7 linked regions of the Daphnia pulex genome follow. Each later gene encodes a partner of the first gene's protein in a complex. Links are inferred from orthologs where the notes say so. Each region holds a gene or a part of one and is shown on either strand. Other genes may lie near its edges. The genes, in order: mediator of RNA polymerase II transcription subunit 4-like, mediator of RNA polymerase II transcription subunit 19-like, cyclin-C-like, mediator of RNA polymerase II transcription subunit 20-like, mediator of RNA polymerase II transcription subunit 24-like, mediator of RNA polymerase II transcription subunit 21-like and mediator of RNA polymerase II transcription subunit 31-A-like.

The links.
Region 2: mediator of RNA polymerase II transcription subunit 4-like (region 1) and mediator of RNA polymerase II transcription subunit 19-like share a complex: the UniProt entries of both Homo sapiens proteins name them as parts of the mediator complex. The link is inferred for Daphnia pulex from reciprocal best matches to the Homo sapiens genes MED4 and MED19.
Region 3: mediator of RNA polymerase II transcription subunit 4-like (region 1) and cyclin-C-like share a complex: the UniProt entries of both Homo sapiens proteins name them as parts of the mediator complex. The link is inferred for Daphnia pulex from reciprocal best matches to the Homo sapiens genes MED4 and CCNC.
Region 4: mediator of RNA polymerase II transcription subunit 4-like (region 1) and mediator of RNA polymerase II transcription subunit 20-like share a complex: the UniProt entries of both Homo sapiens proteins name them as parts of the mediator complex. The link is inferred for Daphnia pulex from reciprocal best matches to the Homo sapiens genes MED4 and MED20.
Region 5: mediator of RNA polymerase II transcription subunit 4-like (region 1) and mediator of RNA polymerase II transcription subunit 24-like share a complex: the UniProt entries of both Homo sapiens proteins name them as parts of the mediator complex. The link is inferred for Daphnia pulex from reciprocal best matches to the Homo sapiens genes MED4 and MED24.
Region 6: mediator of RNA polymerase II transcription subunit 4-like (region 1) and mediator of RNA polymerase II transcription subunit 21-like share a complex: the UniProt entries of both Homo sapiens proteins name them as parts of the mediator complex. The link is inferred for Daphnia pulex from reciprocal best matches to the Homo sapiens genes MED4 and MED21.
Region 7: the proteins of mediator of RNA polymerase II transcription subunit 4-like (region 1) and mediator of RNA polymerase II transcription subunit 31-A-like are in contact, whole or in part, in a cryo-EM structure (PDB 8TRH), measured with the Homo sapiens proteins. The link is inferred for Daphnia pulex from reciprocal best matches to the Homo sapiens genes MED4 and MED31. Residues at the interface, in NP_054885.1 of Homo sapiens: Glu147, Tyr151, Arg154, Ile155, Asn159, Ala160, Val161, Cys162, Ala163, Pro164, Trp167, Arg173, Arg174, Pro175, Tyr176, Pro177, Met182, Leu186; in NP_057144.1 of Homo sapiens: Gln19, Glu23, Gln26, Cys27, Ala29, Asn30, Pro31, Ala64, Lys65, Tyr66, Leu67, Lys68, Tyr69, Pro70, Gln71, Asp98, Ile102, Trp105, Gln106, Tyr108, Ser109.

The regions. Positions count from the first base shown.
Region 1 is NC_060026.1:12,376,290-12,380,383, forward strand, and holds mediator of RNA polymerase II transcription subunit 4-like, read right to left. Parts: upstream 2,417-4,094; 5' UTR 2,293-2,416; coding exon 2,225-2,292; intron 1,932-2,224; coding exon 1,817-1,931; intron 1,761-1,816; coding exon 1,641-1,760; intron 1,582-1,640; coding exon 1,410-1,581; intron 1,349-1,409; coding exon 1,047-1,348; 3' UTR 901-1,046; downstream 1-900. Other genes in the region: beta carbonic anhydrase 1-like, read left to right, coding at 1-67, 132-371, 430-515, 577-700; transcription initiation factor TFIID subunit 13-like, read left to right, coding at 3,599-3,694, 3,849-4,019. UniProt on the Homo sapiens protein: Component of the Mediator complex, a coactivator involved in the regulated transcription of nearly all RNA polymerase II-dependent genes.
Region 2 is NC_060023.1:10,279,948-10,283,714, forward strand, and holds mediator of RNA polymerase II transcription subunit 19-like, read left to right. Parts: upstream 1-1,691; 5' UTR 1,692-1,908; coding exon 1,909-2,113; intron 2,114-2,154; coding exon 2,155-2,426; intron 2,427-2,491; coding exon 2,492-2,836; 3' UTR 2,837-2,919; downstream 2,920-3,767. Other genes in the region: GTP:AMP phosphotransferase AK3, mitochondrial-like, read left to right, coding at 64-97; required for excision 1-B domain-containing protein-like, read right to left, coding at 362-538, 600-798, 865-950; MAP kinase-activating death domain protein-like, read right to left, coding at 3,302-3,388. UniProt on the Homo sapiens protein: Component of the Mediator complex, a coactivator involved in the regulated transcription of nearly all RNA polymerase II-dependent genes.
Region 3 is NC_060017.1:5,572,379-5,576,401, forward strand, and holds cyclin-C-like, read right to left. Parts: upstream 2,247-4,023; 5' UTR 2,119-2,246; coding exon 2,087-2,118; intron 2,029-2,086; coding exon 1,922-2,028; intron 1,854-1,921; coding exon 1,647-1,853; intron 1,587-1,646; coding exon 1,463-1,586; intron 1,394-1,462; coding exon 1,269-1,393; intron 1,195-1,268; coding exon 996-1,194; intron 892-995; coding exon 819-891; 3' UTR 725-818; downstream 1-724. Other genes in the region: folate receptor alpha-like, read left to right, coding at 240-455, 512-703; adenosine receptor A2b-like, read right to left, coding at 3,118-3,450. UniProt on the Homo sapiens protein: Component of the Mediator complex, a coactivator involved in regulated gene transcription of nearly all RNA polymerase II-dependent genes.
Region 4 is NC_060026.1:11,659,742-11,664,253, reverse strand, and holds the end of mediator of RNA polymerase II transcription subunit 20-like, read left to right. Parts: intron 1-1,989; coding exon 1,990-2,255; intron 2,256-3,373; coding exon 3,374-3,484; intron 3,485-3,701; coding exon 3,702-3,794; 3' UTR 3,795-3,799; downstream 3,800-4,512. UniProt on the Homo sapiens protein: Component of the Mediator complex, a coactivator involved in the regulated transcription of nearly all RNA polymerase II-dependent genes.
Region 5 is NC_060019.1:9,366,241-9,371,055, reverse strand, and holds the start of mediator of RNA polymerase II transcription subunit 24-like, read left to right. Parts: upstream 1-1,581; 5' UTR 1,582-1,773; coding exon 1,774-1,869; intron 1,870-1,942; coding exon 1,943-2,068; intron 2,069-2,152; coding exon 2,153-2,254; intron 2,255-2,312; coding exon 2,313-2,674; intron 2,675-2,730; coding exon 2,731-3,059; intron 3,060-3,117; coding exon 3,118-3,446; intron 3,447-3,503; coding exon 3,504-3,740; intron 3,741-3,808; coding exon 3,809-3,975; intron 3,976-4,032; coding exon 4,033-4,210; intron 4,211-4,279; coding exon 4,280-4,377; intron 4,378-4,444; coding exon 4,445-4,661; intron 4,662-4,743; coding exon 4,744-4,815. UniProt on the Homo sapiens protein: Component of the Mediator complex, a coactivator involved in the regulated transcription of nearly all RNA polymerase II-dependent genes.
Region 6 is NC_060027.1:1,945,620-1,948,772, forward strand, and holds mediator of RNA polymerase II transcription subunit 21-like, read right to left. Parts: upstream 1,758-3,153; 5' UTR 1,665-1,757; coding exon 1,623-1,664; intron 1,547-1,622; coding exon 1,334-1,546; intron 1,257-1,333; coding exon 1,095-1,256; 3' UTR 1,018-1,094; downstream 1-1,017. Other genes in the region: nudix hydrolase 8-like, read right to left, coding at 1,934-2,113, 2,182-2,408, 2,465-2,675, 2,739-2,830, 2,899-3,067. UniProt on the Homo sapiens protein: Component of the Mediator complex, a coactivator involved in the regulated transcription of nearly all RNA polymerase II-dependent genes.
Region 7 is NC_060024.1:13,244,915-13,248,102, forward strand, and holds mediator of RNA polymerase II transcription subunit 31-A-like, read right to left. Parts: upstream 1,646-3,188; 5' UTR 1,505-1,645; coding exon 1,492-1,504; intron 1,414-1,491; coding exon 1,333-1,413; intron 1,276-1,332; coding exon 1,179-1,275; intron 1,120-1,178; coding exon 909-1,119; 3' UTR 821-908; downstream 1-820. Other genes in the region: 2-oxo-4-hydroxy-4-carboxy-5-ureidoimidazoline decarboxylase-like, read left to right, coding at 1-175, 255-408, 481-676. UniProt on the Homo sapiens protein: Component of the Mediator complex, a coactivator involved in the regulated transcription of nearly all RNA polymerase II-dependent genes.

The sequences.
Region 1 (4,094 bases):
CCTGGAGCTGGGGTGCATTGTAAATAATGTGAAGCACATGGTTGTTTGTGGACACTCAGATTGCAAGGTCAGTCAACCATAAACTTGTTAAATGATAACATAAACATAATGACACACAACTTTTGTTTCAGGCTATGAACCTATTGTATAGTTTTAAAAAAGGAATTGAAACCAACATGAGAACTCTCGAGAGATCTCCACTTAAAGCTTGGCTTCATCGCCATGGTAGTATTTCTCTAACTAAATTTGAGAGGTTAGAAGTGCATGGTTTCCAACAGCCCTTGACTTTCCCAATGGAGGGACCATTCAGACAATTTGTTGCCTACATAGACCCTGACAATAAATTTAGTCTAACAGATAAGCTCTCACAGGTAGAATTATGCCAAGTTATGTAATGTCTACAAATCTAATTGGGTTATCTTTTTTCAGCTCAACACATTGCAACAACTACAGCATATTGCCAGTTATAGCTTCATTCAAAGTGCCATAAATTCGGGGCGAGTACACCTTCACGCGTATGTATCATGTATCAAACGTTTACTCGTAAGTGTTTAATGTTGAAATTTATGATACTAGGTTATGGTTCGACATCTATACCGGAGACATCTACGTCTTTAGCCGCAAGCAAAAACGGTTTGTGGAGATAAGCGAAGAGACATCCGATTATTTGCTCGATGAAATACGCGAATACTTTGTGTGACCTTAACCGACGTGCCTCGGGTTATTATGCTGAAGAATATATGGAAATCTAGGTATTTTTATAGAGATGACGCACATCTCCTGAATTTATATGGGGAGTTCGATTCTAAAGCTATTTTGTAAATAGTGAGAAGTTAACTATAAAATAAATTGTTGCATAACTTTATAATGGAAAAGAATTTGAACAATTCGAAAAAGGAATTGCACAAATATTTATCTATTTTACGAACCTTTGAATGAGGAAGGTTTTCAAAAAGAAATGCGAAAGTAGAATAGTATACAGGATGGTTACCAACAATATTAAGCAATCGCGCAGGATACAGAGTGTAAATTGTTAGCTCACGTGTTTACTGAGAATCGGAAGATGAACTGCTACTCGAGTCCGTAGACATAACGTCGACATCTTCATTCTCTTTCTTGGGATTTTTGTGATCCATTCCACCACTCACACCCAAGTGTGAAACTGACAAACAGGGCATTTGCAGGTCATTTTGAGATAACCAACTATAAGTGCCTGCTTGAGAATTCGGAACTGAAGACCCCTGCTGCAAAGAATGATTAGGACGATGCAAAAGTTCTGGAAAACTCATGTGTCCATTGACATTCATTTCACCAAGACGGCCCAAAAATCCTAGCCGCATTTCAATATCTGAAAACCACCACAAAACAACATGAAACTACTGGACAGCAATTTAAAAAAAAATTTCTACCCGTGGGATATGGTCTGCGTAAATCTCCTTGCTGCCAATTCAAAGGAGCACAAACAGCGTTGGAAGCCGATATTCTGTGAGCAAATTTTATCAACTCTTCGGAATTTACAGGTCTGTTATTCGCCCGTGTGATTGATTGCAACTTTTGCTTAGCTTGAAAGATTGCAGTAGCCTGAAAAAGAGTAAGTTTATGAAATACTAAAACCAACAAAATAATTAAAAATAGCTTACTAATAGCTGCTCTGCCTCCTTAAGCTGCTTTTGAAGATTTCGAATCTCAACATCATGCCTTTCAACTTCTGTCTCTAAGGCAACTACTTTTTGTTGTAATACACCTTGTTCTTCAGCCAACTTAATAAAAGAAAGAATTAGCATTGAAAAAAATTATGAAAAACAAATAATTTTACCTTAAGTGTTGCCTTAAGATCAGTGTCTTTTTGAAGAACCAATTCAACAAGTTGAGAGTGTTCAGTACTCATAGGTTTCTGCTGCTTCTGGGCTATTAAGTTGTCCAAAAGTTCCCTAATAAATTAAAAAGATTAAGTTTAGTACAGTGACAATTATATTTTGGAAGATTAAAATTCAATAATCAAATTCAAAACAGTGTATGATACAAACGAGTGTGACAAAGTGTTCTGAATTTCAGGTAAACAATGGTATGATTACCTAATAAGATAAATAAATATATCATGCTAATGAACAATAGATAGATCTGAGGCTTTAACTTTCATTAAAAAAATTTTGAAGGAAGAACAATTGCACTACGTGATCAAAATAGTCGACGAACAAAGGCAGCCAAATCAAGAAAAACTTACTTTGCGATGATTTCGATATCGTCGATGCAAGTAAGCAATACTTCTCTGGTACTTTTTTGAGAAGTCATGTCTAGTTATTTTTATTCCTTTTTATAGAAATAGTTATAAAAACAGGTAAGTGAAACTTTCCAATCAAAATTAGTTTTTCTTGAATGCGGCTCGGCTACGGCTGCAACAACAACTAGAGAAGTGAGGTTGCCATATCTAGATTTAACCTGACCACGTATTTTTTTAAATTTCCTTATCCTTTATTTATGGATTCATTCGGAGTCGAATCACCGCTCTACAACGTGATTTCGTTAAAAGAAACTAAAAAATATAATAGTAATGAGATATGTTTGAAGTGTATAATAATGCAACACTGGCGACGATTTATGAATCGAATTTCGTAAACATAAACAGACAGCAGGAATCCGCTGTTCCGCTCTTGATCGTCTGACCCGCCCAAAGTTTTCCGAGCAATTTCTCAAAAACAAACTCCGGAAAGAGTGAAAAGACATTCATTTGTTTGCTTGGGTGAGTATATAGTCCAGCAATTCGACTTTAGAATCTCCAGTTATGAGGACTTTAAAACACATTTTGTGTTACAGATTCTTGGTTCAGTTCCTGTCTACAAGAATGTCGAATGACAAGTCTGTCAAAGTTAAGGTTGGAGAAGAAGAACGAGTATCGCAAAGTTTATGCGGTTGTTCGGTCGGAAAATTTTGGAAATGGAAGTACAGTGTCCATAAACAATGAGCAGAAAAAACAACTAGGTATAGAAGGAGACTATCATGCCGGGCATATCATTGCCAAAATGCTTGGAGGATCGGGATCGGACGTAAATAATCTCGTCCCCATGCACAAAAATTTCAACAACAGTGCCTACAAATCTTTCGAATTTGAAGTCCGCAAGATGATTGAGGATTCTGAAAAATTTTACCCCGGAAAACAAGTAGAAGCTCGTATCACTGTTTCCTTATTTTACAATCAAGGTTCCAATAAACCATATCGAATCAAGTATGATGTTGCCATGTACGCTAACGGCGTAGAAAAGCCGAGTTACGTTGGAGATTTCAAACTGAATGAAAATGGACGACACTAATTTAAATCGAGGAAATTTTTGCTTTGACGCTTTTTGCAGAGCTATAACTCTGGCTTTTTGTAACCAATAAACATTTTTCAATGTTGAATGCGTAATCAGGCGCCGCGCAATGTATTTTTTTTACAAGAAAGCAGATTTTAGTACGTACAAGAGTGCTTTTACAGCCATCTGGCAACCGTTTTCGTTACTAACCTACCTAGTGTCTTCTGCAGTGGTTGATTTGTTGACGTTTATTGCTCGAAAATTCTCCAACCCACTAACATTTACTCGTTTAGTAATCAAATTTCAAAATGTCTTCTCCCTCGGTGAATACTTCATTGACTTCGTCCCCACAGAAAGAAAGAGACAGCAAAGAAAGAGAAAATCCAGATGAAAACTATGATCAGGTAATTTTCTTCTTTTAAGTTACATTAAATCTTAAGTAATTTCCAGCTGAAAGTTTTGCTGGTACATATAACATATTGCTGGTGGAAATTTTTGTATTTAAATTTGTTTTAATGCTTTACTGTTCATTTAATTTCTAAATGTTTCAATTTCTAGTTTGATGATGATGAACCTGATTTGCATTATGGATCCACTTCATCAGGCAGAAAGCGCCTCTTCAGCAAGGAACTTCGTTGCATGATGTTTGGATTTGGTGATGATCAAAATCCCTATACAGAAAGTGTTGATCTGCTGGAAGACCTTGTTATTGAATACATCACTGAAACGGTAGGACTAATACCTTAAAATTTTTTTCAAACTGTGACATCTGATTTGCTATCTTTGAATTTTATTTATCAAGTT
Region 2 (3,767 bases), on another chromosome or scaffold:
AGGCTTAGAAATATTTTTACATTGTTAAAGAATACTGTTTAAAAGATGTCTTTTGTATTGCAGATTTCTGTCAGAAAGCATTCCTAAATCTAATTGAATGCTGCATGCTGCCTTATGATCTTCCTGCATTACTTGGTGATACTCATCAGAAGAATATGTGGAATGAGGTTTAGAGAACTTTGCATTTTAACATTCCTCTTATTAGTTTTGAAACTTAACTTGCCAAGAATTTAAATATGTTAAATAGAAAACTAAGAATGCAACATTTAGTTAGAAGCATTATGATGCTGTATTTCTTTAGATTGTCAACAGGTTAATGCAAATATGGGAAGAGAATAATCTTCAGTGATGAAAATAAAAATTACATCAGATCAGCCAATTGGTAACAAACAGCTTCCATGTTTTGATTGATCTTGTCTTGAACCACAGCCAATTCTTTCTTCAAGTGATGCACTTCACGCATGAGAATGTCATTTTCAGCATCCTCAATATGTTGCATGTCTTGCAACTCTTGTTTAGCCAATTGCAATCGAGCCATCTAAACAGAAAATCAACAAGTTTAATAAATCTTTAAATCTTAATCTTTAATAATTTTTTACCAGTTCCAGCTGCCTTTTCTCATAATCCTGCACTTTGATAACATGCAATGTCAGTTCAGGCTGCATGTTTCTCAATTGGCACTCAATTTTAATTATTTCTTCTGAGATTCGCTTAAAGTCTTGAGTTATGTCTTGAACAAGTGTACGAAACTGGATAAAGTCATAATTTGGTCCAGTGCTCAGATAAATCTTATGCCCTCTGGAAAGAAACAATACATGCAAAAATTACCTCATGTGAAATTTTTTAAATAACATTGTAACTCACTCATGAAAAATCTTGTAGGTGTGGACCCTTTCCTCTTGCAATTGCTGGAATTTCCTCAAAAGGCCATAAGCTGTGACTCCATCCATGTTGAGAATTATAATTTTACTAACGTGTAACGAACAAAACGGAATGAACGATCTAGGTAAAGAAAAGATACGAATTGTATTGTATATTTAAAAGGAAATAAGCCTAGGTTATACAAATAATTACCTTTGGAGAAACAGAGTTCTTATTATCACGGTTGCGAAGGTAGGTTTTCTATCCTCGTAACATCACGACTTGTGGTTCCAGAATAAAGAGGACGACTATATTTTAAGGGTGACGACCCGGTCCTTTCATCAACGCCCCTAGGGTCAATTCTGAGACAGACAAAAAAAGGGCTGGGTTACTGGGTTGGAAAAGCTGAGTCTGGCCTTTAAAAAACCCTCTACAATACACTAGGGAGTATGAGATAAGGATTTTTTAAAAAACAGCCTCTGCCTTCAGCCAGTTTTCTGACTTTTCTTGAGACTATTGAAGGACGCCGAACTCGAATTCGAAAGTTGAATTCGACCTCTGGCTAGATAGATATTTTTTGATAACATGAATAATAAAATATACATCAACAGTTTGATACTATTACCAGACGGAAATTGAAAAAAATTGTGATTAAACTCACCATTAAATCACACGAGGCGGACACAAAACTATCTACCCTAGCAACTGCCACTGAGTCTAAACCTCGTGTGACTTTTTGACTTTTGAAAGCGTGCTCTCGCCAACTTGGCCAATTCAAGTCCTCGGGCAAAAATATTTGCATAGAGGAGCATCTAGTTATATCTTTTGGGTACAGGTGGCGCTGGTGTTTCGTTATGCTTTTTCGCTGCTGTGTTTACTCTGTCAATTGTCATTTTTGGCATCCAACATTTGCCTGAATAATTTATTAATATCTATAATTACTACGATATATCGGATTCGACCAAGGTCAGTCTAGTCGGATACGGAGATTTTACAAGCGATGACCTCATACTAACGAGTAAAAAGGGTAAAAGTTTTTGACAAAAAATGTCGGAATCATTCACCATCCAAGTGGCCGATTCTCTTCGGAGATTTGAGCCGAATTCTCCAAGATCTTCTCCAAGAGGAAATCGAAGCCCAGTTGTTCCCAGGCAACAAGATTCCACTGGAACACTGAAAACCACCATATCACTTGGAAAGACCCCAACAATTGTTCATACCGGACCATTTTATCTTCACAAGGAACTGCCAGGTATACATATTTTACGTGACTGTATCATTCTTTCACTCAAGGTAAATCTATCGCAGGAGATACTGACCTAACCGGAGCAACAAATTTAATGGCTCACTACAATTTGGAACATTCATACAACAAATTCAGTGGCAAAAAGTTCAAAGATTCGCTATCTTCATTCTTACCTGGATTACCCGGCATGATTGATACTCCTGGTAACACAGACAATTCATCCTTAAGATCCATCATTGAAAAACCTCCAATCGGTGGCAAGGAGTTGGTATTCTTGAATTCCTCTCAACTTGCAGGATTCCGTCTTCATCCAGGACCAGTAAGAGACTTTTAGACAGCAAATCACATAATTGTTATTTTAATTTTCACATCTTTATTTCATAGTTGCCTGAGCAGTATCAAACCTCTTCCCTGGCCCCACTGAAGAAAAAACAGAAACACAAGAAACACAAAAAGAGTAGCGAGATCTCAATTCAAGAAACTGGAGCTGGAATCGCTGGACCGGGCATTGGAGTAGTAGGAGAGGGAGGAGCCGGTTCGGGCGGTGAATCCTACGAAAAAAAGCATAAGAAACAAAAGCGACACGAAGATGAGAAAGATCGCAAGAAGAAGAAGAAGGAGAAGAAGAAAAAGAAACAGAAGCACAGTCCAGAACACCCAGGAGCATCAGCCTCAATCGGTACTACAAATTCAAACAGTAACCCACCTGGAATGATGCCCTTACTTTGAGAAACCTTCTTGTCACGTCGATTTATTTCGAATTTTTTCTGCTTCTTTCGAGAGTATAAATAAAATTCCATTCAATGAGTGAATTTTGGTTTATTATTATTCATTCTTTCAAATATTTTCTTCTAAATCGGAGTTTGAAAGCTATAGCGTTGGCTTGCCCGAAAACAATGATAAGCACGTCACGATAGCTACACGCAAGTCACAATCGCTCAAATGATATGATCAATAGGGTAAAACAACTTTATATTCATTAATTACAAATACTAACAGTGAATGTTCGAACGCAAATTTGTCAACTGCTGTTGGTTCAAATTTCTTGATGAACCGTACCATGACTAGATAATTATTATTGCGACGACTCGTACGACAAAACGAACGAGTAATCATTTAAGTACAACAACTAAAAGTAACAAGCGAATCAAGTGATGTCCGGTGTGTGTTGCTTGGTCGATTGATGATGAGCTTTCAAGTCGGCTCAACCTTTTTACGCTGTTCGCTTCCGGCGGCCACGTAAGAAAACACGCAGAGAACAGCGTAACAAATCTGATCCGCCTGTTTTGTTTAAAAGAACAAAAAAAGGTTGATTAATATAATAACAAATGATTCAACAGAAGACACAGCAAAAGAAAAATAAATAAATAAAAAGCAGGTCAAATAGCAAAACGAAACTTGCCTTTGACCGGATCACAACAAAGAAACAGAATAAGTGGATTGCAGACCGTCTTTATCAAACTGAAAGTTTAATCCACTCAACAAGACTGTTGAATGGCCATAGACACGCGGACAGAAAAGACACGATGGATTGCTAATGCTATCTCGTTGGCCTAAACGGTAGCGTGCAGGTATAAAGGTTAAAAATCAGGCAAACAGAAAAATAAATGAAAAAAAGGAATAAACATTTTTCAATTAATGAAATAATAAGGCATGCAAA
Region 3 (4,023 bases), on another chromosome or scaffold:
TGCAAGCTATAGGAATATAGTCAGTTCATTTTTCCTAAAGATTCACTCTGAAAACAATAGGCAGAATTAATTTTCTCAGCTGTTACATAATAAATAAGACATTGTTGTCTGTAAGCTTTGTAATTTTAGAAACACAGATCCACCTAGAGGCCTAGATGCTAGTTTTATATAACCAGCAGCATTTGTTTTGAATGTTTTAAACTTGTAGAAAATAATTGTATATTTTCTTTTTTATCTAGGTAAACATGAAAATGCGCAGAGAAAGATTCTTGGACGTGCCTCTTTGCGCCACTGATTGTGATGATTGGTTCAATGCTTGCAAGGATGATTACACATGTACAGACAATTGGACATTAAACTTCAAATGGATTAATGGGACCAATCACTGCCGACCTGAATCCGAATGTCGCACCTTTTCCGATATCTTTCAAAACTCATCTAATTTTTGTGAAAGGGTAAACAGTATTAACATTCTCCCTAGAATTTTGATTACATTTTTATTTTCTAAAAGGTTTGGGATCATTCATGGAAGTATACCAATAATTCAGAGCCCTGCATGCGTATTTGGTTTGACGGTGATCAAGGCAATCCTAACGAAAATATTGCACGATGGAAAATCCAACAAAGTAACAGCGCGGAAACGTTTTCAACGAAGCCGCTTACATACGTACTCCCCGCCTTGATGTTGTTTCTAAACTACTAGAATAGAGAAATTGCGTTCTCATTTTCATTGTAAAAGAAAGCATGTATTAAATAGTTGATCATAACACAGTTTTTTTTGTGTTTTTCAGTTTATAAAATGAGAATGATAATGATAATCAATTTGTCACACCCATGGACTGGTCATTTGTGCCCTGTATTCCATCCTGTGATTGTGCTGACGAGGGAGGCCTACATAGTTATCACAGTGTATTAAACAATTTTAAAATTTTATTCTTTGCAATGTGATCAAATAAGAAAGAATTGGGATCTAAATAGGAAATTGAATATCCTACCGACTTGGCTGCGTTTTGGGTTTAGGCATTTTGGCCAACAAACCCTGAATTTCTTTTTTCTCGTCGTAGGTCTTGTAGAGATCGTACAGAGCCAGAATTTGACGCGTTATTTCTTGAATTTTATCCGTATCGACGGCAATTTCCGCAAACCAATTTTTCCCGTCTTTCTGAAGCACAACACAAGCCATTTGCATGGCAGCTAATACAGAAGAAAAGAAAGAAATAAATGAAGTAGAGTTCACATGATAAAAGACAAAAATAATTCAAGCTAACCCAATGCAATTTGGTAAGGGGGGTACAGAAGAGATATATCAGTTCTTAGGCTATCATTGACTATTTTCCATGACAATCCAAGAAGATCTTCTTGCCCAATGTCTTGAACAAATTGGACAAGTGGTCTGTGTGGAAATTTCAAATGAAAACATTATTACATTATGCTTTAAATTTTCTCAGAAACAGTTGATCACCTGTAAGGTTGGTAAACAACTAGACAGCAATCCATGTTTTCCAATAAATAAAATTCACACTCAAGGATGTGTTGTGCTCTGTAGGGAAACTCTTGAGGATAGGCATAGTTGAACTTTGACTTGACTGTTTAAGAAGTTGATTGAATCACAATAACAAATTTTGTCTTATGAAAAGATCACATACCAACTGATTGACATGTTGTGATTAATCTGTTGTTCGAAATTACACCAAACTCTTCGACTTTTGAAGCCAACAGAATGCATGTGGGGGCAAGTAGCAGTGGATCAATGCATTTCAAGGAATTCCTGGCATAAAACCGCTTGAAGTAAACTGTGGCAGTCGCTATGACTTGTTGTTTGAGTTTCAAATGCTCACCAAGAACCTGGATGACTAACATGAGAAAGACACTTTTATTATTCAACATTTAGGAGATGATTCCATAGTTAATATAAACTTACAGTTACTAAAGAAGATGAAGAGTTTTTGATAGTCTTCCTCCGTGACGATGGCGAAATCCCCTTGGCGTTCTCGAACCAAATCAGAAGGGTCTAGTAGCCACTGCTGACTAATAATAAAGTGAGTAATTAAATGTGAATCAAAACGTTAGACAAATAAAAACTAACCAATGCGAGCTTTGCCAGAAATTCCCAGCCATACTCTGCGGCCGAGGTTTAACTTGTTTACTGTGTGTAAACGATGCTCGACACTGTTAGGTTAGACGACGTAAGGCGGCGCTTATTAAAATGTCGCCGTGCCCGGATTTTCTAACATGGAAGCCTTTTCGCACCCGAGCACGCCAATAAACGAAAGAAAAGAAAACATCGTGATTTACTGATTTAGTGATTTGTGAACGATCGTATTCGTGATTTTGTTCTGTTTTTTTTAAAGTTTTATTAGCGTTCAACAAAACAAAACATTGCATTCCATTTGGTTTTAATTAATTAATTGTAAACTTATGACTTACTGTATGACTGTTTTTGAGTGATTAGGATGATGACGCAATGAGTTACTTTGGTTCGACGTAAATAAACATGATTTAATATTTTTGAGACTCATTACACAGCGTATTTGTTTACATATTATTGTCGCCTAACGAAACGTTCATAACACAATGTTTGTTACATTTTACAAAGTTACAAACGATCCATGAATAATTGAGTATGTAAATTTGGCTACTAAACACGAAGGAATTTGACCACTTGTCCGTTTTACAACAACGAGAATCATGAGTACATCAGGCCGAAAAGAAATGCGTTGCAAAAAAATAAGAAAATACAAAATGCGGAATGGACCATTGAGTAAGAAAACAGAGATGATACAAAATATGTGTGGGCTATATGACGATATGGACAGTCAGAGAGAGTTTGAATCCCGTGGCATCGGCACGAACGAAAAATACAATCAACATTCAATGGAGCCTATACACAAGACATGAAAATATTTTAATATCATCAACACAACCGATGGGGGGAAAAAATCATGTGACATATCTCCCGCATCAGTCAACAGCAACGATGGACAGGCCAAGAAGCAGAGGCATCCTGCATGAATAAAGAGTGTAGCCCCCGTGAGAATTGACTTGAACGATTCTTGGCATGCGTCCGGCGTAACGTGAAAAAACAAAAACTATTTCAAAACGTGCCGTCGTGAATTTTTACAAGTCCGTGACTTGTTGCTGATCCGGCGGGATCGTTCGTTGTAGGTAGTCGTCGTTGGAGAGGTCGGTGGAGTTGATTTGCCACTCGATAGGTGGCAGCTCCAGCTGATAGATTTTACTGAGTCGCTGTCGATCGTGCGGCTGGATGGATCCAGCTCTCGATCCGATTCCGGTGGCCATTTCCACCGAGCTGAGCGAGCGCTCCATCGCCCACTTGGAGCAGGGGACGTAGCGGAGCAAACGGGCGAAAGCCAGTCGGAAATCGCGGTTCTTCCATCCGTAAATAAATGGATTCAGGGCTGATTTCCCGAAATACAAAATCATGACAACCTGCCGAAAACAAACGGCAACATTGAGGAAAAGAGTTGCGTGTCGGTTACACAACAACAGCTCGGATAAAGAAAATTAAACTGTTTAGCATGTTTAGATCCGGGTTGAGCCGGTTGTAAAATTATCACGGTTTTTTCCCTATTGTTATACATGTTGTTTACAGGGGATTTTAAATTTTGCCACGCACCCATCTAAACGTAACAAATTCAAAACTGAGAGCGAATTTGAACGAAATGTCGTAATTTGAGAAAAAACCCCAAAACAAATCAAATAAAAAATATATTTTTTAAATTCCTTGACTGCTATTAAAATTTAAAAGTGGTTGATGAAACTCAACCGCGTTTCCCGTTTTATGCGGAAATGTCAAACATTTTTTCAAAATTTTCGACCCTCAAACAAAAAAATAGAATTGATCGTTTCTTTTAAAAAACGAACGAACGAACCGGGACGATAAAAACTGAAGGAGCTGCAAGTTATTATCTTTTCGCCTTAAATTTCCCGAAACTGTCACAGATAAAAAAAAGGGAAAATGGGAGCGACTGAATAAGTGATGGACGTATTATGAAGCGGGCC
Region 4 (4,512 bases), about 720 kb from region 1:
AAAAATAAAAAAAAAAAAAAGAACTAGGAAGGCAGGTAAATTATTACCTTTGGTTAACCTTTCCTCTGTGCTACGGTAGGGGGGCGAGAGAAAGAAGATCTCGTCGAGAAATCTCCCCGTCCGTCCGTCCGAAATGAAGACATTCCGATCGGGGGATGGCGCAAAAGAGAAGGAAAGAGAGAAAATATTTTTATATCAGGTGAAAGAGGAGGAGGTTATACATGAAGTAGAAGAAGAAGAAAAGAAGCGTCCATAAGTTGATTGGAATGCGTTGAATAATTCACGAGCTGGATTGATTTGGTTTAACACAGAAAAGGGCAGCAGCAGCAGCCACCACACCAGGAAATAAAAGAAGATGTATCCTATTACCGGGGGGGATGATGTGAGCCTGATGGAATATCACCAAGTTCCTTGTAAAAGAAGAAGAAGAAGAAGAAGTGAGCGAGAAAGCACATTGGGTTGGTTGCCCTTTTGTCGGGTGTTTGGGATCTCTACTCGATTGAGATTGGTCAGGGCCTCTCTCTTGATCTAACTCTGCGACGTGGTGTGGGAATCGTTCGTGAGAGATATCGCGTGTCACGAACCGATTGGGCCTAAAGAAGAAGAAGAAGTTTTTCTCCAGCCTCATCTCGTGTGAGAGACAGACGCAGACTTTGCAGCCGGGGTCCAACAACAACAACAACATCCCCCATCCCAAAAAACAGCAGCAGCTCCGGTCGGAGTAAGAAGAAAATCTCGCACACACAGTGATTTCCTCCTCCCCGCAGAGTTCCTTCTCTTCCACGTTTGAAATTCCCTCCTCTTTCCCCCCCCCCCCCAAAAAAAAAGACATTTGAATTACACTGAAAATTTAAGTTTCCCGCGTCATGAGAGAGCGTATTGGAATAGAATTGATTTTTTATTTCCAACCAAAGAAAAAAAAGCAGAGGGAGGCTGGAAAGAATCCCAGAAGAAGTAGAAGCCACTTGATGTCTTATCTCGAAGCAGTATTTTTTCAAATGGCTCTTTTTTCTTTCTCTTCTTTCTTAGCTTCCAATTTTTTAAAAAACATTTTATTTTGATTTTCTATTTTGAAAATAACCAACGCAGTTAATGGGTAGAATGTGGGCAGGAAAATCTGAAGAGGAATCCTTGTTCTTATATTCTTCTTCTGGCTATATGTATATCCACATGCACGAATATATAGAGAGATATACCTGCTTCACGTCTAGATATCAAGTGGACGGGCGCTACCGATCCGCCCAGCTGCTATACACAACACAACAACACACATGACTGCCTACCGACTCCGTGCTTTTGTGGTTTCCTTGTTTTGTTTGATTTTTTCTTTCTTTTCTTTCTTTCTCCCTCCGTCGGGGGTGGAAATAGAGGAGGAAAGAGAAAGAAGAAGAAGAGATAAGTTGATGGTGAGGTTTGACGTCACACTCGTTGAAGATTGAGAACAACTGGCGCGCATAGTTATTGTTTTCTTCTTTCTCTTTCTCCCTAATGCCCAAGGTTTCCTCCCGACACTTGGCGTGCGCTTTAGTTCTTTTTTTCGTGGGGGTTGTTGTTGTTGTTGTTGTCGTCGGTAGCGGAGGAGGAAGAGGAGGAATAGAGAGACGGGGGCGACGGAAGGCTGCGGCTGTTTGTGGTTTATCTGACATGTTGGAGAGTTGCCCGCAAGCTTTTTCGAGTTGCCATTTGCGAGCATTTCCAACCAAATCCTCCGACGAGATGGAAAAAAATCCGAAAAAAAAGGAGAAAGAGACAGACGGGGGGCTAGGCGCCATCATCATTATCCGGCGGGACTTGACTGATGACGCCATCAACTTGTCTATCGCCCTTGTTTTTGCAAACTGCCAATCTGGCTCAATTTCTTTTTTTCGTAGGAAATTTGATTTCTCTCATGTCTTGTGATGTGGGAGGGTTAAACGCCAATGTGTTTTTATCATTCATTTTCTTTTTATTATTTAAAATCATTAAACTTTTGGTTTCTTCATTTGGCAGGAGCGCCGAGATCGGTGCATTTGCTGCACAATTCCGAGACGCCGGCCTCCGTGTTCGCTCTGCTGGAGGCGGCCAGCGGCAACAAGACGGTGGCCCTGGTGGCCGACAACTTGTTCGACCTGCTCATGCTCAAGCTCTCCAATTTCTACACGGCCAAGAAGCAGACCAAGATCGAATCGAGAGGGCCGCGCTTCGAAGCCGGAGACTTCCTCGTCAAGCTCGGCTCCGTCACCATGGGACCGGCCTTCAAGGGCATCCTAGTCGAGGTATACATTAAACAGCAACCCAACCAACCAACCAATATCCCACGTTAGTGCATAGACAATAACGACATCAAAAACTTCCATCTCTATCTCGACTTGACGCTGTCGATTGTCTCCCTTTTTCTTTCCCTACAAGGTAATAATGATGAGAGGCTTTTTTCTGGCCTCTTGAAAAACAAGAAAACCCTTTGACAACATCCGTTTTCTCTGTGTGTGGAGGGAGAGCTAGAGCTAGAGCTTTTCCAGCTTCTTCTTCTTCTGTGTTTACAATCTCCGCGTGATGGTTCTTTTTTTCCGTTTTCGGTCATCCAGCACTAAATATGCAAGCGCCTCTTTTTCTTTTCATTTCACTCGGGAAGGTTTCAGACAGTTAATGAGCTTGTCAATATTGAATTAAAAGTGGGGTTGGGTGGGAGAAATTTAATTATTTGAAATGATCAAATCACTACGAGTCTACGAGCTGGCTCTGACGGGTTTGGGCTAATATTTGTGATGATGGACGCTTGAATAGAGCCACAGAGAGAGAAGGGCTGAGTCAATGTTGATGTGAAAAACGGGAGAAAGAAAAGAGACTCTGTCTCGTTTTCTTGGTTTTCTTGGTTCTTTGATTATTCGTGACTCGAGAGAGTTCCTCGCTCTTTTGGGTGCCTCTTATTATCGTACACGAGCCGAGTGTGTTGGCGCTGGGGCGGGCTGATGTTGTGAACAAAACAATTGATCATCCATCCAACCATCGGGGCCTTTTTATTTCTCTTTTTCCATTGAAGAAGAAGAAGAGAAGAAAAGAGAAGAAAAACGCGGCACAACTGGAAGGCGCGTGATATTCTCCGTCTGTGTTGTTACGTCATGGGCTCTTCTCATCTTCTCCTTGTTTCGTTTTATTTTATTTTTTGGTTTTGTTGTTGAGATGTCATGGAATTTCAAATGAGTTTTTGGGGGCGAACATTTTCTGACTCGGCTGAATATTGATTTCATATACTCCCGCTGACACTCGCAACAACAATAATAACAACAGCCAGCCAGCGACGTCTGCAGGGTCTGTTTATATGGATGAGAAACAATTTTTTTGTTTTCCCGATCGATTCTATCGGAGAGATAACTTTTGCCATCCGTTTTGACAGGTGGAATATCAAGCGTGCAGTCTGCCGGCCGCCTGTTGGGATCTGATCCGCGAGTTCATGCAGGGCTTCTTGGGCGGTTGCGTCCCATCTACTCCGCCTCCGTACATCCAGGTCTGCTCCTTCTTCCTGCTGCCCGTCTATAGGCTCAAAACAATTTTATTTTATTTTTTTCTTCTTCATCCCCATCAATATCAAATAAGAATTTACGATGTTTGCCTTTCGTCATGTTGTTATTATTCCAATTCGTCTAACAAAATTTTTTTTATTTTTTTCTCTATTTTTTTCCTGGATGCATAAATCTTTTTTCTGTTCCGTGACGGACCATCAGAGCCGATTCGGCGACATGCTGGGCACTATCGACGGCATCAATCAGTACCTGGAGCAGTTCAACGCTTTCCGCAAAACCACCGGCATCCGATAGATCGACAAACACAACAAACAACAACTCTATTTGCCCTTACACAACAACAACAAAAACGCGCCATTGCTACAACAAAATAAAAAAGGAAAAATACAAATAAAGAAAATAAAAAGAACTCCGCCGCTCCGGTGTTTTTCTATGTTACTTGGGTACAACTCTATTATCCATCCTTTTGGAAAAAGAAAAAAAAACTAAATGTTTTTTATTTTATTTTCTCTTTAACCGTGTTGATTCAAAAACCGCCGTCGCCCACCTTTGCACACACACTCGACCCTTCTTGTATTTTTTGGACTTTTTTTTCAAAGTTTCCCGCTTTTCTTCCGGGCGCTTTTTTTAAAAAACTTTAAGTCAACAAGAAAAATCAAGAGGACAACTTTCTCTCTTCTTCTTCTTTTATTGTGTTGATTTTGTGGGCTTCCCGTTTCTAAACAAACACATCATCACCTCAATGGATGGCCATTAGGGGTTCTCTGTTGTGTGTGTGTGTGTGTACCAAGTGCCATTTGCTATCCTCATTTTTTCCCGGAATTTTTTGAACATTATTTAAAAAATGGCGCGGTTTTTTCCCCCCATTTCAAAAATTCAAATTGCTGACTAGACACAAAGGAGATTTCCACGGTGTATGCCGTCGTGTTCCATCTGCTTTGATATCGTTCTCGGTTTGAATGAAACAAGAGACTCCGACGACGTCGTGCCACTTGATTGCGGGGGGGTCACA
Region 5 (4,815 bases), on another chromosome or scaffold:
ACAGAAATGAGATTGGTTTTAACTGTTTCGGTGTGTCAAATCGCCTACACAACGAATCATCTGCTTCAAAGCGGTTCCATGTTAACAAGTCGCAATTACTGACCTCTCTTCAGTCCCTCTCAACTCCTGTCAACAAGACTCTTTCAAGCGTTAAAAAAATAAAAAAAAATAAACCTTTCAAGTTTTAGCACGCGCTAAGTTCTTCATCGGCTCTCCAACTTTCTCTGCGTGTATGCAAAACAAAAAATATTTCACTTTTCAGAACGCTGCAACATTTCCCGAATTCATAATCAAACTAAAACACAAAAAATAGTACCGTAATAATGACGCACAATTCAAAATAAAAGTGTCGATTGATTCATGTCATTTTCCAACGCAGTTGAGCACGACATCTCACGCCATTTTTTTTTTTTTTGTTAATTATAGTCCACGAGAACCAGCCTACCTTAAATAGTAACTCAACACCAACCAGGATGTTCTTGAGAAGAAGAATCGTATTGCTGACACTGGCCCTTATTTTAGCTATTGTTATCATCACCGTGACCATTGTCGGGCTTCTCATCTCATCATATAATGACCGGTACATGCACAGTATAAATATCCAACAAGAGGAGAAATCGGAGATTGTTCTACTTTCTCAATTTCTTCAGTCTTTACATTCTTATTTATTTTTAAATAAAATTTAAAAAATCTATTTTTGCAGTCAACAGGCAGAAGCGGAAGCTAGAAAAGACCATGGTACTCACATGGAGATAGAAAAATATGAGGATATGGAAAAGAAAATGAGTTCTATCGCTTCTGATTTACCCGAGAGTGATGATACGGAAATCGATGAACGTGACTTTTTACCAGTACCACCAGGTGTAGTCGTAATATTTTGATCATCGCATACACGGACGGTCATGGCTGAAATTATTTTGATTAAACATGAATAGCTACAACAAATACGGACAGCAGCGGCAGCGGATTTGAGCCTTCAAGTACGGAAAAGACTTCGTTGAACGTGAATTCTGTTCCTCTAACAGACGAATATGAATCATCTCAAGAAGTTGGAAGTGGAGATTCGTTAGATCATCATCAAGCCGGTAGTGGAGATAATTCCGAAGATCGACACTTTGGCATGGGAAGTGGGGATTTTTCTGGAGACCGACGAGACGTCGGCAACGGGTTTGATCAACCCGTTTAATTCGTCACAACTAACAAGCAATCTCATTCCGACCTTCCTCTTGCAACTATATAGTACTTTATATAATAAATACAATTTATCCCTGTCACTGCAAATTCTATTGGTAAATTTCTTGTGCACATGTTATGAAAGCTATCCGTAAATACATACAAAATTCGTGTACCATTTAACCGCGACCAAATTCTTTCTGTTACGTAAACCGATGTTAAAACTAAAAGTTTTAACATAGATTTATTTTGTTTTATACTAAAATTGTCAAATTGATTTGGTTCTGAAAACACCGAACACGGATTGGCCTTCAAGTGGGGGATCGTTTGTTAAGCACGTAAAACACTAATTGGTCGATTCGTTGCTGCTGGTAGTTTGAATTCCACGCGAAAATGTCAAAATGATTTGTAGTTCCACTTTTCACCGCTGGGGTGTTTATGGTATACCGTGTCGTCTGCTTTGAACGCTCCTCTACAAACCACAAACTCAAAAATTTCACCTCACCTTCAGAATTTAACGAATAATTGTGGCGTACTTCAACATATGTTTGTTAAATTGTGTTTTAGGTTATTAAGCTTGAAATTTCTATAATCGAGAGGATGACTGAAAGTGTAGAGCAAAAGCTCAAGCACTTGATGAGGAAGGCTTGGAGGGAACGTTGGACAGATCTCATGTGGGGGATATATGTCAAAGAGGTACTTTAACTGTAATTTCGTAACAAAAAAAAATATCTTTACCAGTTTTAAATTAAACTTTCTTTACATAAAGGTAATACCAGCAGGATCAACTGGAGATACATATAATCTAGCAGAAAGCATTTTACAGCAGGCTTTGATCGGACCATCTCCAAATTCAAAGTTGTTGTCATATCTACAGCATTCATTACATGTTCAAGTAAAACCACAACTTTAATTCAATTACTAAACACATTTTGTTTTGCTTGTTAATATTTAATTGCATACCATTTGTGTGTTTTAGATTGTTTCCTACAGTGCTGTTTTCGAAAATATCTGCCTTCAAGGTAGTATCCAGAAAACCAGATGCCTTTTGGAGTTACTACTTTTGGTGGAGCAATCAATAGTAACTTTTCCCATTCAGTCTTAAATTGAGATATGGTTTTAACAATATTATTTATTAGAAACATATTTCATGTACTGGATCTGGCGATGGGCCTGCTGCTTTAGCTGCTTCTCTATTGTCTTTGGAAACTTGGCTTTGGAGTCTTACGTCTGATGGACTAAAAAAACTATTTGATAATAATAGTGCAACCAATGACTATTCAGTCATTTGCCATTATACTACAGGATTACTGGGGACTTTGTATGAAGAGAACTATTTAATATCTCTTCTATACATTGCACGTTGCTGCACTAATGATCAGTTTTCAGCAACTCATCTTACATCGCTTGTAAACCAAACTGAGTCCAACCTGAAAAATTTAACTACTAATGGGAATCCGTCATCAGAAAAACTTGTGGAATCTGTCGAAAAAGTCATGAGGTACTTCATTTGATGTTCTTCGTCAATGAGTGGTCATTAAAACAAATTCTCCACAGGCAATGCCGATCATTTGAAAATGATCTATTCAAAGAAAATGGTCCCGAAAAGCCCTTTTACGAGAACTCATTGTGCACAGACGTACATACATTAATATCTTGGGAGGCGTTGCTTCGCCCCACGTCAGATGGCCTTGAGTTGACTCGACAGTTGGAAGTTCTACAGAAACTAAGAGGCTATTCACCCACCCAGCTCTATTGCGAAATCCTCAGAGCGTGTTGCCTAGGACTAGCCGAAACTGCTGATTCTCCTGGAGAGCTACGTTGGGCTGTATTCACTTTCCTCAAGGCACCGTCATTACTACTCCGACTTCATCGATCAATTTTTGGTACGATTAGCAATATTTTAAAATTTCAAACTGTTCTATTAAATTCTCGTTTATCCAGGATTGGATCCAAATTCGCCTATTGGAGAACCAAGTCCGGAAGTCGCGGGTGCGTTTGAGCGCCTTCTTTGCTATCCTGGACTTTTAGAAACAACCGATGCCAAATGCCATTGCAATGTCGTCGAAGGTTTATTAAATGAAGTGAAAATACGGACATCTCTTTTATCTGAATGGCATGTTACAAGCATCCTCAGCAAAAGAGAAAGTCTATCCCGCGGAGGTCTGAAGTTAGAGACCACTAACACACAAATAGCTACTTTGGTTCTTCGTGCTGAGCCAACGGTGGCCAGTATTCTGAAAACGTTGGATACTGATTACGCTAAAAATCAGGTAATCAAGGAAAATGTAGAGAATTACGTAGAGCAAGTAATAACATCTTCATTTTAGGACACGCTGTTGAAAGTTTTATCTCATTTGCTTTCGGGGCAAAGCTTCGAACTCATACTGAACGCTGCAACTGGGACTGGTAAACTCCGAGCTTTTGCCACAAAACTCGTGCGATTTAACGAAGCGAATCGCCAACCTGCTGGTTCCGATCCAAGTAAAACTGCAAATGCAAGGGCTCTACTCTTTGACATCTCATTTCTAATGCTCTGCCGTATTACGCAAATGTACGGCATTGAGGTAATGAAAATCATCTAATAATTCACACCTGAATGCCTTCTGATGTTACTTGTTCTAATGATCGATAGGTGATACTGAGTGGTGAACTAGGAGGGGAGACTTTCTTTGAGCAGTGGGCTTCAGAATGGCTGAAACCTAATCAGGCGCCTGATTTGTCATTAAGTCGCTGCGATCCCATGTTGACTGATCAGTTATTGAAAGCCTTGACATCTGGAGAGAGTGACCTTAGATCAGGGTAAAATAATCTCGCCATTTTTTTCTTGAAAAATAATAAGCCCATTTCTATTCATAGGAGCGTTCGATGGCACGAAGCTTGTTTCCACGTCCCTGCTGTAATACGGGAAATTTTGGGGGCTTACGAATCACAATTAGTTTCTGATGAAGAAGTTGAAAGGATTCTCGATACTTTACGGACTCAAATGTGCTGTCTGTCTGTTTGTGCTGCCGCTTGGCTTCGATTTTACATCCAAGTAAGAAAAGATCCAATTAAAAAAAAATCAAAAAGATTCGAATTAAAATACGGTGGACATCTCCTTTAGGTACAACCAGCAAATCTGAAAAGTAAGCCCACGAGCATGCTCGATCATTTGATGACTTCCCTGAATCTTGATGACTCTAAAGAGCATTATAGGGAAAGGTAAATTACGATAATGCCCTAACAAATGATTTTTCGCGTTCACTATAAAATTCTTTTTTCCATTAAGGTCAGTATTGATGCTGCAAATCATTCGGCGTCTGGCACAAGACGACAATCCCCTACAAAGCGTCTCAGAGAATCAAGATCAAAGTTTGGATCATCAGTTAACCAAATTATGGAATAAGATTTTAAATCATGGTTGGTCAGACCATAGCACAACAGTGGGTATTGATCAACTATTCAAAATTGGTGGAGCAACATGGTTGGTCACTTCTTTGGTCAAGGTACTTAATCAAAGAACTTTATCCTAGACAAGCCTAGCAGGTATGGGTATGCGATTGAATGTCCTTTCTTTGTGTCTCGCAGGCAGTTATTAAAGAGCAATCTTCTGACAAAAGACAACGGTGCGTCGAAGGAGCGCTGTCAGTTGCACATTTA
Region 6 (3,153 bases), on another chromosome or scaffold:
TATGTGTTAAGAATCTCAGTGGGGGGGGAAGGAAGGGGTTGGGTGGGGGGGGGGAGTCAGACAGCCCGAAGAAGAAGAACTCGTTTAAGAGTTGGAAAAAAGAAGTGAGGGACCTTTGCGAGCTGCACTCTTCCCCCTCTCTTTTCTTCATCTTCCTCCTCCCTTTTAGTATTTTTTGTTTTCTTTAAAGAAAAACATTTAAAAAAGAAGAAGAAGGGGGGGATATACACACACACACAGTTGCTGCCCCGAAGCGGTATGCGGCGCTTCTTCTATAGAACTAATAAGACTCTATATATTCCCCAGTTATCTCATATTTATCCTGAGCAACATCAAAATTTACCCTGGAAAATTCGTGAAATAAGAAAACAAATTGTTCAAACTCACCTGAAATTCTGCCAAACGTAATCTTCTCCAAAGACATAATCGCTGAACGCAGACACTGTTGTTGCATCAAAAAAGGGTTGGGGAGGGAGAGAGAAAAAAAAAGGAAGTGGGGAGACTGAACGCCACCCACTTCCAACCCCCTTTATTTTTCCCCCTTCTTACCGAACGACCGGAGATCGCCGAAAGGGGTCGGAGAAGATGGCAGCACTATATTTATACACACGGGAGAATTTTTTCTACTTCTTCTTTTTTAAAAAATAAAAAGCTAAACAACATTCTATCGTTTTTTTTTTCTCCTCCTCCCGCTCCCCCCTCCTCTTTTTTTTTGTTGCACGCCATTCCTAAACAAACGGACCGCGTGTTCTTTCTCTTCTTACGAGTGAACAGCAACTTCTCTCCCCCCTTCTTTCCATTTTGGGTTTTCTAAAGGAAGACAAAAAAAGAAGTGGATATATAAAAGGTTGGAATCCTTTTCAAACAGTTTCTTTTACAATCTGTCACCCCATCTTCCTTCCTTCCTGAAATGACTTGCCTCACCTGTGTGTGACAAGAATGTTCACTCAATATGATTTTGAAAAGAACAGATTTAAAATTGATGTTGTGGCGGAAACCAGAAATGAAACGAAATTCTTGCAGAGCAAATTGTTTGTTTCATTTTCTTCTTTTAAATATCAAAAATAGGGAACTAGAGCAAATAATGGTTGGATTTAGGAATTTGGACCTGTGCTCTGCATGGCCAGTTGGGTCTGTGCAATGTCGTGAAGTGCATTCTGAATTTTCTCGAGCATCAGCTCTCCTTCGCTGACAACCTCCCTCAATCGTGCAGCGGCACTTTCATTTTCATTCTCCAGCCTTCTGAGACTTGCAATCTGCAGCGATTGAATTAATTTTAGTCAACTTCGTAGAACATTGCACCGACAGAATACTAATAGAACCAAGTTTATACCTGCAGTTCGGAGGTAGAATCTTCACTGGGTAGTGAATCGATTAGGACGTCAATATCTTTGGCGCAGCGGGCAATCAATGTGGCAAAAAGAGAAGCGTGATCTTCTTGTTGTTGTTGAGGTGTTCGATTGCCTGCTCGATCGAAACCTGGGAATGTAGCCGGTGGGGCGGTTTGTTGCAAAATACCGATGGCATTGCAGAAATTATCAGCTTGCTAGAAACAGAGAATTAAACCACGAATTTGAGACGATACACTTGGCAATTTCGTCAATGCAATCAGTTATAAATACCGCATTTATAGCGTCTTGGAGTTGTGTCAAACGATCAGCCATTGTTGATGGAAATGCAGAGATGAGAAAAGCAGATGTGCCGGCTATTACGCCACCTAGCGATGAATCTGATAACTTCAATGCCAAATTTAAACATTCACAACCTGTATTGTGAAATTAATTCTACATTCTGATGATTACAGGAACTGGGCAGTAATTTACCGATCTGCATATATAATTTGTTAAAACAACAATTCAAGCTAAATATAATGCGTTATCTGATTCCCGTAACAGGCACTAAAACAAAATACTAGAACGTGATCCTGAACACATTACAGTTTAAAATTTTGTTTTCCTTCAACTAAGTAAATTTGGCTATTGCTATTAGTCAATTGATGGATAGATTCCAGGCAGTTGATTGCGGGATTATCGCCATCGGCAATCGCCATTAACTGTGTAGCAAAGATTTTCCCAACTTCGAAGGCAAGCGGATGAGTCGCATATTCTTTCAGCTAAAATATTTAAAATTCAATTACACAGACTAGGAATAATTGAAAATGTTGACATTTAGAAAACTAACCGGCATCCAACAAGCGTCGCTGAGCTCACGAGGACACATTTTGATTTCTGTGCTACCTTCAACAGGTCTGAGATAAGTCACGAAATAAATGTCTGAACAGCCGAACCTTGCACTGGGATTCTTCTCTCTTGATTGCAAATGCCGCACGGCAACGAGTGAAACGAACTCTGTCTTAATACCAGTCTCCTCAAACACCTCCCTCTTGACAGCAGTAGCAATACTTTCCCCTGTAAATTTAATAATTGGTAATGATTGAATGTTAATGATGTCTAAATATACATACCTGGATCTACATAACCACCAGGGAGTTTCCAGTGTGGTCTTTTGTAATACCTTTCCTGAACCACAAGAATCTCATTCTTATCATTGACAACCATGGCTCCAGCGCCTACCATTGTGTGTGCATAACTAGGCACTTGACAAGGTTCGTCAGAAGGCAACCATTTGAGCAACACACTCAACTCTGGGTTTGCGTGATGGAAAGAAAAGCCATTCTAAGAAAATGAATAAGGTAATGCTCGTGCAGTTTTGACTAGCAATAATTCTTCTTTGACTACCTGAATTAGTACTGGAATCCATTCAGCACAGGTTGGTTCCACTTCAAACCAGACTCCACGAACTCCAGTGGTGGACCAGACTTGCAGAGATTCTAAAAACAAACAAAACAACTATTACATAAAACAAATGATGTGTTAATATATAAAAATAAATTTGCACCTTTAAGAAGCTGCTCCATTCGGTTCCTTTCTTGTGGCTCTTCGCTCGAGCGCACAATGATTCCGCCGAAAAGATCCTTGGCACCTTGGAATGTCGACATTTTAACAACAATTGATTTCGTCTTGGCCAGAGCGCTGCTCAATAAATGACGAGCAGCAGTAGCATTCATAACACCCGTTCAATAAATATGTCATCACGGCCTATCTCTTCATCTATACACAGAGTCCTTTTTATTCTAGAGGCAGGAGATATCGT
Region 7 (3,188 bases), on another chromosome or scaffold:
CTGAACATTTCGCTGGTAAACGAATTGAATTATGAAGATTTCATCAGTCGATTCGGTAATGTAGTTGAACATTGTTCAATTTGCGCGGCGGCAATTTGGCGTAATCGCCCATTTCGTGACGTTCATCATCTCCACCAAGAAATTTGCTCGTTTTTGGACCTCCTTCCGGACACAGGTTAGAACTATTTAGTTACAGGCTGCTTGAATGCTTATTTATAGCCAATCAATTGAACATTTGTTTTCTCATTTGATAGGTAAAGAGGGGGTGCTAAGACTTCACCCTGATTTGGCTGGCAGGCTAGCTGAACTTGGCAGCCTAACACAGGAGAGTACTGCTGAACAGAAAGCTGCTGGTTTAGACACAATGACACCTGGTGAAAAACAACTGCTAGGAGAGACCAACATCAAGTATGACAAATTACTGTTCTATAACTATATAGTAACTAATGAGCTGTGTCTTTTGGGCTATTATTTTAATAGATACAGAGAAAAGTTTGGATTTCCTTTTGTTATCTGTGCCAGGCAGAACAAGAAGGAAGCAATCTTGAAAGGAATAGTTGAGAGATTGGAACACTCAGCTGCTGAAGAACTAAACATTGGGATTGAAGAAGTGAAGAAAATCTGCCTTTTGAGGTTGTTGAGTATAGTAACTGATGACAAATCTCGTAATATGTAGAGATTTTCCACTCGCTCCCATCAGTTGAGGTCAACAGCAGCTATTCCATTCTAAACATTCTCACTCAAAACAAGTCTTCCAAAACATATGTGTTGTTAACATTTTGTCTGGTAGTTTGCAAAAACTCAACACAAAATACAGCAATTTACAAAAATTTGTCTATATTGTCTTGCATATACTTGCCCAATATAAGAGAAGTTTAAAAAGTTCCTTAAACAATAATTATCATGAATCAAACACTTTTCTGGGGTGTTGGCTCATTCTGAACAGTCATCATGTGCTTCTCAGCTTGACTTTGAAGAAGACGAACCCTCTTTCTAGTGTAATGTTGCCAGTGAAGGATTTGTTGATCATCAATGAAGCGAGCACACTGGCCATTCACAACCTCCTTTCTGAAATGCTCATATTGAAGCAAGTCTAGGAAATGCAAACACATTGGGTACCTGGAAAATAATGAAATTGTAATTTCTAGTTAGGGTAAATTGCAAGTGAATTGGTGTACTTCAAATATTTTGCATAAGCAGGCTCCTTCCAATACTGTAAATACTTGATGTAGTTGACAAACGCCGGATCCTTAAAATAGCCACGTTGAGCAAGGACTAGTGTAAACAAGGCATAATGAAAGTGTTGATTTTAAAAATAGACCAAATACTTACAGTGCAGATAATTTGGATTTGCGAAACATTGCACAAATTCTAGTTCCACCTGAAATCGAATCCTTTGTTGTTCATCAGTTTCTACCCATCGGAAAAAGGAATAATAACATAGCAATGAGAATCTGTATTGAAAACGACTACACTTCACGATATATTTACCTCTGGTGCTCATTGCGAAGCAAACAACGAAATAACGTAGTTTGCTTCAACAGTTTTGGAAATCTAGAAACGAGGCAACCGGACAGAATGGAAACGTCAGACAACAACTTGAAATGGAAATTGGAAAGCGTCAACTTTTGCAATTTGTCGTCTGCTTGATCAATTGATGCCATCTAGAAAGAAATCGAGAAAATATTAAAAATTGAATTAACTTAAAAAAATTTTTACAAAATAAAAAAAAAATTAAAACGATTTCAAATTTCATGCCCACAATTTATTAATGTGTGTGGTGGCCTTATCACACAGTTTGATTTCCGAATTTGGATAACATTTTGCGGTTGCGCTGCGCCGTAGGACCCTAATAAACCATGAAGCCGCAGCTGATAGGCTAGACGGCTAGACTATACTAACTTCAGTTTGCACCGTGAGTTATTTTATTTTCCTGTAGGAGGTAAGATCAATAGAAGAATTTAGATGGAATATGGAGTTGAAAAACAAAAATACCAAAATAAAAAAGTCAAATCAGAAAAATTATGAATTCAGCAGGAAAGGCGAACGGAAAAATAAAAAGATGGAATATATTACCGTGTGATTTCCAGTTGTTTCACATATGCGACATTCTACGCCTCCGTTACTATTTTATCGTCCTTTTCCAGAACGGAAATATTTGAAAGTAGGCTAATCAAAAATATTCAACCCAAACGAAATCTGTTGAAATTTTTCTTTGACTTTTGTTCTTATTTTCGCCACTTTTGATCGGATATCCGGTGCGGGGGCGATAGCATTCTACCATGTATAGGTCAGAAATATCATCTTAAAGTGTCATATCTACTCCGTGTATACGTGACATCCGGATAATGCACGCGGCCGTGAGGGCGGTGTATCATGTCTGAGTGCATATTCACGTATTGTACATGTGGTAGGTCTATACTACGTAGCCATCCTCCTGCGCACTCGGCGGATGTATAATGGTTGGTTCTCACCTACGGCCCCGAGTTTTCCGGTAGACCATGCGACAATCAAGAGGATGAACGTATCAATCTTAATTCCCTGGTATTATCTAATAATCGTGCTTGAAATTCCACTCTTCTATGATTATAAGTTCAATCAGCAAAGTGACGTGATTGGAGTAACAAATAGATTCAACGCGGATTTCTGCCGTCGGTCCGGGATAAATGATGGAGTAATATTCCATCATTGATAGCACAGAATTCAGTAGAGCGTAGGTAGCAACAGGTGGCGTGACATGACAAAAATGATCCAGCTGTTGCTGAGGCAGTGTGGGCTTTTATCAATCACCTGCCGCTTATTGCCTGACCCATATCAGCCTTTTTTTTTTTTACCTGAGGAGTTTCAAATTTTCGTGGAAAAGATTCTCATTACATTTCCCCGCCATATTAATAACGCTTTTGCCACTAGGTAGACGAACCGGTGGGCGGTGGCACGTGCGACGGACAATGCCCAAAAACTGACTCCGCCTCGTCTCTATACTTTCGGCAACTGTTGTGATGTTAACCTGCCGTTGAAGGCAATTACAGCAAGCCCCCGATTCCATTTGCGTCACGTCGCCGAGTATATAGCAGTCGACGCAGAGAGGGGGGGGGGAAACAAAAAATTAAACAATGTAATAAACAAAACAAAAGGGCGACGCGAAATCTTATTAACGCAAAATATTAACGTCAAACAACTTGTCGACG